Mus musculus: one gene and its partner. The protein of the gene in region 1 interacts with the protein of each later gene in a pairwise test. Links are inferred from orthologs where the notes say so. Each region holds a gene or a part of one and is shown on either strand. Other genes may lie near its edges.

Evidence for each region.
Region 2: the proteins of Txn1 (region 1) and Fst interact in binary tests that used the Homo sapiens proteins (3 or more experiments, as listed by UniProt). The link is inferred for Mus musculus from reciprocal best matches to the Homo sapiens genes TXN and FST.

The regions. Positions count from the first base shown.
Region 1 is NC_000070.6:57,953,612-57,957,589, forward strand, and holds the start of Txn1 (thioredoxin), read right to left. Parts: upstream 2,801-3,978; 5' UTR 2,600-2,800; coding exon 2,576-2,599; intron 1-2,575. UniProt on the Homo sapiens protein: Participates in various redox reactions through the reversible oxidation of its active center dithiol to a disulfide and catalyzes dithiol-disulfide exchange reactions.
Region 2 is NC_000079.6:114,456,152-114,460,124, reverse strand, and holds the start of Fst (follistatin FST315 precursor), read left to right. Parts: upstream 1-1,173; 5' UTR 1,174-1,538; coding exon 1,539-1,623; intron 1,624-3,050; exon of another isoform or gene 3,051-3,329; intron 3,330-3,546; exon of another isoform or gene 3,547-3,570; coding exon 3,571-3,762; intron 3,763-3,973. UniProt on the Homo sapiens protein: Multifunctional regulatory protein whose primary function is to antagonize members of the transforming growth factor beta (TGF-beta) superfamily including activin, myostatin, GDF11 or bone morphogenetic proteins (BMPs).

The DNA of each region.
Region 1 (3,978 bases):
TTCTATCTCACATTTTTTTTTCTTTCAAGGAAAACAATCACATGTCATTTCTGAGAACACTACAGAATGGCTACGACAGCTTCCAGAGACGTCTAGTCAGACTTGCCCATCAAATCCATGTCTGGGTGTGAAGAGCGGGCAGAGCAATGGAAACCACTGTTCCCAACCACCACTGGTTGTTGCAGATAATTCTCTTACAAAATCTCCCCTTATGTAATTATCAGAGGCCACAGCACCTATTCTTTATTGTAAGACACAGGTCAAGGTGGTATGGCAGGCTGCTCTGATGACACCCACATCTGGACCACGATTGATCCTCAATAAGAAAAGAGTCATTCCAGAGCCAGAGCTGCCAGAAACACGCCCTGCGACGCAGGAGGAGGAGTCTCTAGGGAGCGGCCTGGACCTTGCTCCTTAGCAGTCACCTGGGGTACCGATCCAAATCCGAGGGTCCTTAGCTGGGACCTGAGTCCCAGTTGATGAGATTACATGACAAAACAGGGCAAACTGCATCTCAAACACTCTCAAGGTTTACCCCCAAAAGCTATGAGGCAAAACCAAGCAACACTACTCAAAATACTGAAAATGCGGCTCACAATCCTAATTTCGGGCTTCAGTGAACACCAATTACAGAGGCAGGGATGTGCAAACTTGCAAAACAAGTTTTCTTCTGCCGATCTGTATTGGCTTGAAGAGTATTCAAAATTATCTACTAAGAAGCACATCACAATTTTTAGCTCTAGAAACCAATAACCACAATTGGCAAGTGTCGCCAGTACTGACACCAATAACCTGGAGACAAAACAACACACCCGGAGTAGACCGGAGCAGATGCTATCATCTCTTTTCTCAAACATACCCAATTCAGGGGCTGGCAAGATGGCTCAGCACATTAAAGTGCCTGCCACCAAGACCAACGAACTGAGTTCAATACCCACGACCCACAAGGTAGAAGTGAGCCAACTCTCTCAAGTTGTCCTCTGACCACTGCCAATGGATGCCCCACCCCTATATGTGAATATAAACCGAAACAGAAAGCCCCAACAACAAAACCATATTCAGCAAATAACAAAGTGTTCTTTGCTTTTTTTTTGAGACAGCCCAGCCTCCTGAGCGCTGGGGATTAGAGGCATGAGCCAACGCCTTGGTCTAACACGTGGTCTGTGAAGCACTGAGCAAAGTGTGTGTGTAGTTCAAGGAATAATTTTATTCTTAAAGATAAACACGGCAAATCAACTGTTGATTTCTGAGCCATTATATCATAGCCTATTATTCCACTCCTGTGTGGAGATTGACCCCAGGGGCCTTTAACTACCCACACAGTCGTCAGAAATAAGGCTACATTTTACATAGTTTAATTAATCAACTTAAGCCCATCACATGAAATTTATGTGTATTCAGTTTAACTTCTGATTCTGGGCGACTCCGATCAGAGCCTTGGTAGCAGGCTTTTGGGGCCCAAGCTTTTTCCGAGTAACTGGTTTCCTGGCACCAATGTACACCGCTCCTATTGGAATGGCAAAGGTTCCATAAGTAGGTCAGTTTAAACAGATAAGGATCCAACTGGGTGCTGGGACTAATATGGCTGGTAGTGGGTGAGCCAACTTTTGTACTGAGACCCAACCAGGTGCTCAAAACTGGAGGGCGCGGACCTGTCTTCCACGGATTTCCTAGTTTAAGGGTGAGCCAGTCTTTCACACATCAATTTCCACCCCCAACCTCCTTTCACTTTTCATTTTATAAATATTCCCCGAATAGTTACAGTGTAACAGGCTCTGGGTTTCCCAATCTGGAGGATATTTTGGTTCTCAGTAACTTTCGAATATGGTAACAGTTTTTCCCTTGGGTATTATTTTTCTTTTCCCAAAGGGCAGGACTTTGTACTTGACTACTCCCTGGGGGAGAGCCCTGGTTCCAGCAAAGCCCACTTATGGAGGGTCAATCACTGAAACCTTAAGGTTGCGAGGCCCCGGGGCCAGACTTTGGGGACTGAGTCATTCCAAAGCCAGAGCTGCCGGAAACACGCCCTGCGACGCAGGAGGAGGAGTCTCTCGGGCGCGGCCTGGACCTTTCTCCTTAGTAGTCACCTGGGGTACCGATCCGAGGGTACTTAACTGGGACCCGAGACCCACCCTCATGCACCGACCTGGCCTGTGTCCTCTAGGCGGCAGGTCACTGATGGAGGGAAACTAAGGCCGAGCCCAGCAGTACAACACACCCGCGCGGCGTGTGGCACCGCGTACTCGAGAAGTGGCGGCTCTCCATCTTTTCCTAGAGATCCTAAATCCTGATTCAGTTGGGGCACGGGAAGGGGGGAGTGTCACAGGAGGACCCCGGTCCATCTCTTCACCTCCGCCAGATTTGGGCTGGCGGTAGGGAGTGCAGCTCCGGGGACTCAGGTGCTGCCCACGAGTGCATCTCCCGTACCCGGCGTTCCAGGGTCCCCTCGTCCCCTCCCCCAGGGCATGCTCCACCGCCGAGGGCGCACACAGGCCCTGGGCCGCTAAGCCCGCGGGGACACCGAGAGTGTCCTCTTCAGCACCGCGGGATGTGCGCGGCGCCCGGGCATGCGTACCTTGCTCTCGATCAGCTTCACCATTTTGGCTGTTGCGGGGAGGGAGCCACACGCGTCTCAGCAGAACCAGATGGAAATGGATCCAAGGCGCCCAACGGAGCTTGCAACCGAGTGCGGCGCCCGCCTTCTCTTTATAGAAATAGGGCGGAGCGCAGCAGGGCGGGGCGGACGGGCACGCGCGGCGGGGACGCGCTTCCCGCCTCCCGCGTCCGCCAAGGCGCCTGGGCAGGCCGCGCCTAGACCACGCCCCCAAGAGGTGGGGCGGTTTTCCAGGGGGCGGAGCCAGAGTCGGCTACTAGTGCAGCCTGGGGACTGTCCTAGCGCTGGCCTCACTCCTGGCTTCCCCGCCCCACTCTAAGCTGCCGAACAAGAACCTTAGTTTATAAGGGGCGGAGCTAGCACAGGCTCCTGGAGCAGCTTCGGGTTTTTCCAGGCTCCAGACGCCGCGCGGCAGCTACCCCTAAGAGCCAACTTCCAGCTGCCTCAAGGGCACTTTAACAGCGAACAGCGCCGGGGTAGATCACGGTCCTCTCTCACACCGTAGAGTCCTTCTGTAATCACACTGCCCATGCCCCAAACTAGACCTAAGTCAGATACTTCCAGATTGGGGCTGGGGACAGTCCCTAGGACTGCCCAGGCAGAGGTGTATCCTTAGACTAGGGCGGCCATGCTGCAGTTCGACTCAAAGTGCTGAGTAACGATGACCAGGAAGTGTCTCAGTGCGCGTCCTCGCCAACTTTCTGGGTAGTTCTTTGCCGCTTCTTTCTCCTCTCTCTCTCCTATTCCTTAACTTTAACAGGTGAACCTGCTACTGGGAGAGGCACAGAGCCGTTTAGAGCCCTGTTCTGTGCCCCATGCACATGTAGGCATGATAGAGATCGGATAGTCTAGCTCCCAGCATTGTCTTGAAGGATTTAAGGGCTTGAAAACTGACTGAGGACAGCGTTTGGCCCATAAGGAAGCACTCAATGAATTATTCTAATTATAGTCATCGCGAGCGCTAATTAAGCTTGCGTGGTGCCTTGTGGGGCCTTGCTGAGTTTGGCTGCCTTGTATTTACAATGACAGTATAGGCTTTGAGGAGATTTTTCCGCCTTGGGAGAGGACGCCAGGAAGAGTCTTCTTCAATGATAACTGAGGTGATGTTCAGGAGGACAGGGCATGGTGGAAGAAGCTAAGATTCTTAAGGTGGCTTTGTGCAGCCCCAAGAGTGCCGCTGTATGTTCTGGTGAAGCAGCTGAGGTGGAGACTGGACAGAGCCAGCATCCTGGGAGGAACTCACCAAGCCTGCATTTGGAGAGCCGATCTAGATAAATCTACATCGAGGTGAAGCACGGGAGGCTAATGAAACTGTGTCTCAGCCACCCTACCCCTACCCACTGGCTTCCCTTGTTCAAAACATT
Region 2 (3,973 bases), on another chromosome or scaffold:
AGAGGAGGACCGGGGGGGGGGGGCGCTAGGGCTGGGGCTAGAGAAGAAGGGCGAATTTGAAATCCGTAAGAGCAAATCCCAATGACCTGGGAATGTCCAAGAATTTTGTCTGTTTTGTTCGCTGTTTGTTGTCGTTCGGGCTTCAGAAGCGAAAAGAATAGAAATTTAAAAGGCAGCTTTGAAATAAACAATATAGCCTTTTCCGTGAAGTAATCGTTTTATATAAAAGGAAATATCGCCTCCTCAGTTTCATTCAGCCGTGCCAGAAAATGTTATAAATGAGAAGACCCGCCAACTTTCGGCGAAGAATGCCAGGCATTGCACTCAATAAACTGAGGCTGCAGAAGTTCATTATCATGGTGCAATCTTTTTTTTAAATAAGAGAGAGAGAGAGAGAGAGAGAGAGGAGTCGGGACAGAAACTGGGGCGTCTCGGAGCGGGGGAGGAGGGGGGCAGACCGCCTACGTCGGCGCCCCCGCTCGGGGCTGCGACTCCAGACGCGACGAAGTGAAAGGGGAGAAAAGAAAGGGAGAGGGCGAGACTGCCGGGGGCGGCCGGCTCCGAGGTGTTAAACATTTTTGTTTGCTTCTGACTTGTGGAGCCCGAGGGCCGCGTCTCCGCAGCGCTCGGCCCGGGTGGAAGGTGCCCGGGGGTCGGGGTTCTTAGCAACCTACTCCAGGCTGGGGGGGGAGGGGGCGCGGGAGGGAGTGGGAGGCGGGGGAGCTGGCAGGGTGGCCGCAAAGTAAGACACGTAAGAGACCTCGGGACACAAAACGTCTCCGGGACCCCGCGCCAAGGCTCTGCAGGGAGGCTCCTGAAACTGCTCCCCCGGGCATTGAAGCAGCTCAGGGATCCTGCGGCGGGTTGCAGAAGTCTCATCCCGGAGCCCTGGAGCAGAGGTGCTGGGGACCCATTCCCGGGGTCCTCCGGGGTCCCCGCGCTCCGCCGGCCGCCTCCTCCAGCGCCCTCACTCACACGCGCACACGCACACACGCGCGCACACACACACTCGCACGCCACCCCGGGCGCGCCGGCTCCGAGCGGCGGCGTGCAGGACTGAAGTGGATGTTCCTCCCCACCCCCGACGCGTCGCCCCCAGCCCCCGCCCCTGCCTCCTTCCCCCCTCCCCTCCCGCTCCTACGCAAATAAGAACTCGGCGATTCCCCTCCTGCCGCTTTGATTTCGGGCACCTCCGACAGATAATTGGGAAGGGTTTCCAGAAGGTGGGAAATGTCACCTGATTCACACTGAACTTTTAAAAGCTCCCCACCCCCAAAGAGCCGGCACACCCTCGGTCGCGGCCGCCCTCCCACAGCCCCACACACTGGGAGACCGCCCACCGCAAACCTCGGAGACCCCCGTCTAGATTTAAAGCGCGGCTGCGCCCGGCTTCTGACGTCCATTGAATCGCGCGGGCGGCCGGTGGCGAGCGCGGGGCTGCGCCGGGATCGCTGCGCCCTCCGCCGCTCGCCTCTGCGACGCGCGCCGCTCGCCCGAGCCACCCGCCGCCGCGCTCCTCGCCCCGCGCCTGCCCCAGGATGGTCTGCGCCAGGCACCAGCCCGGCGGGCTCTGCCTCCTGCTGCTGCTACTCTGCCAGTTCATGGAGGACCGCAGCGCCCAGGGTGAGTGGAAGGGATGCGCCCAGAGGCTCGGCTGGGGCAGGGGTTCTACTTTTCTGCTGTCTCCACTTGGTCTGTTCTGACCTACGCTGCTCTCGGAAGATGTTGGAACCACCCGGCTACTCCTGTAGAACGGAACGGGAGGGAAAGACTGAAGGCAGTGACACTTTAGGATAGAGAGCGGAGTTTAGAGCCAGGTTACCCTCAAAAAGGAAAGGGCTTGAGTGGAGGAGCTGGAGCCTCAGTAGTTAGGGGTAGATGCTCCAAGTTCTGGTCCTAATGACTTTAGATGTTATCTCCCCTGGCTGGCTCGGGAGAAGGGCGAGCATCCGTAGCCTGGAGATTACAGTCGACCTACTAGCAATCTATCCATCTTCCTTCCATATCTTTTGGAGACTCTTTAAAAAAAAAATGACGGGGTGGGGGATGGGAGATACCGAATTTTCTTGGGTGGCCGGGGGACGTGGTTTCAGAAACTTTGCCCAAACTTGGAAATGTGGGTACTGAAATTTTTAGAGGGAGGTAGTTTTACGCTTAGCGGATGCTCCTTCTGCCTCTTTCCCCCAAGCCCCGCGAAAAAGAAGAAAGACAAACCAAATTATTAGCCCGAAGTGTTTTAAGTACTTTACAGTTTTCTCCACTTTGCCTCATTCCTGTTAACTTCTGTGAACCAAGCAGCCCACAAGCTATTTAGACTCCGACCTGGATTAAAGAGCAAATTTCTGAAGTTTATCTTCTAAAATTAAAAATGAATTGATTTTATTACAATTAGTCTCCAGGCTGGATTTCTTTTTTAAAAATAGTGGTAACCCCGCAGCTTCACGACAATTACTCTCGAGTCACTTTGGTGATTCATGAGACGTCTGCTTGCCCAAAGTCCGAACACATTAAATAGGGACAGAGAAAGAAACTATTTGTAAAGAGGTTCTTGGGAGACATAAGGTAGGTATGTGTGACCCGGTAGACGCCTCCGGGTTCTAACCCTGCTGCGTTGCCTGTTGGAGCGGTAAGGTTTTGTGTGTCGTAAGCTGCCCTCCCCGGCACCGGTCCTAGCCGTCTGCCCGACACTAGGCTGGGCTACCAGCCTTGCTGATAGGGGCGCTGCCTGGGTGCCGGGACGTGGGCGCCAGAGAAAGCAGCCCTCGGAAATTTCGAAAGACCGCGGTGGCTGCGGGCGTGCTCCGGGCTGGCGGATTGCAAAACGGGCCCGTCGGGCGGGCTGCGCCTCGAGGCCGCTCAGGGCAGATCCAGGCTGGGCCCGACTGCTTTTTTTTTTCCTTTCATTTTTCACAAGTATCTTTATGCTTGATCTGTTCCTGCAGATTCATATTCATTCTCCCTACACTCCCCCCTCTCCCCTCCCTCCTCCCCTCCCTTCCACGTCTCCCCTCTCTTACTTTCTTAACCCCTGTCACAAATAATTCTCTTACCGCCTACATGAAACCGACATGTAAAAACATCCGTCGCATCCTGTTTTTGTCAGGTTCTTTAATCTGGTCTTCCAGTCGCTGCAGGTTATGAAATGGGACGAATAAAAGTAAACAGTCTAGTAAAAGTCAATGCAAGCTGCACGTGTTGTGTCTGGGTCACTGGTAACTGACATTGATATGGCTGGGGCGCAGCGGCGGCCGCTCTAGCCCACCTCCCACCTCCCACCTCGGTGACGGGTCCTTCCCCACTCTCCCCTTTGGAGATTCATATTCTCTCTCTCTCTCTCTCTCTCTCTCTCTCTCTCTCTCTCTCTCTCTCTCTCTCTCCCTCCCTCCCTCCCTCCCTCCCTTCCTCCCACATCCCTCTCTCCCTCTCACATCCCACTGTCCCTCTCCTGCTCCCCTTCCCCCAATCACTTGCTCCCCGCCCCACCAGGCCTCTTTGCCCAGCTCTAAGCAGCCTTCCTTCCCGCTACCCCACGGCTCACTCATTCACCTACTGATCCCTGTCTCTTCACAGCTGGGAATTGCTGGCTCCGCCAAGCAAAGAACGGCCGCTGCCAGGTCCTGTATAAGACAGAACTGAGCAAGGAAGAGTGTTGCAGCACCGGCCGGCTGAGCACCTCATGGACCGAGGAGGATGTGAACGACAATACTCTCTTCAAGTGGATGATTTTCAACGGGGGCGCCCCCAACTGCATCCCTTGTAAAGGTGGGCCTCCTCTCCCCTAGGCGGCAGGCCCTCAGTAGAGGGCGTCTTGCCCTCAGCGTTCCTACTAGCTGACTGAAGCTTAGGATTGGCAGAGTTTTGTTCAGTTTCTCCTTTTTTTTTTTTTTTTTCAAATTCTACCCGGAGTGGAGTTAGCTAGTGGAATCTGCCTCTGCTCGCGCTGGAGGCAAAACAAGGTCGGAAGAGGTCAGTC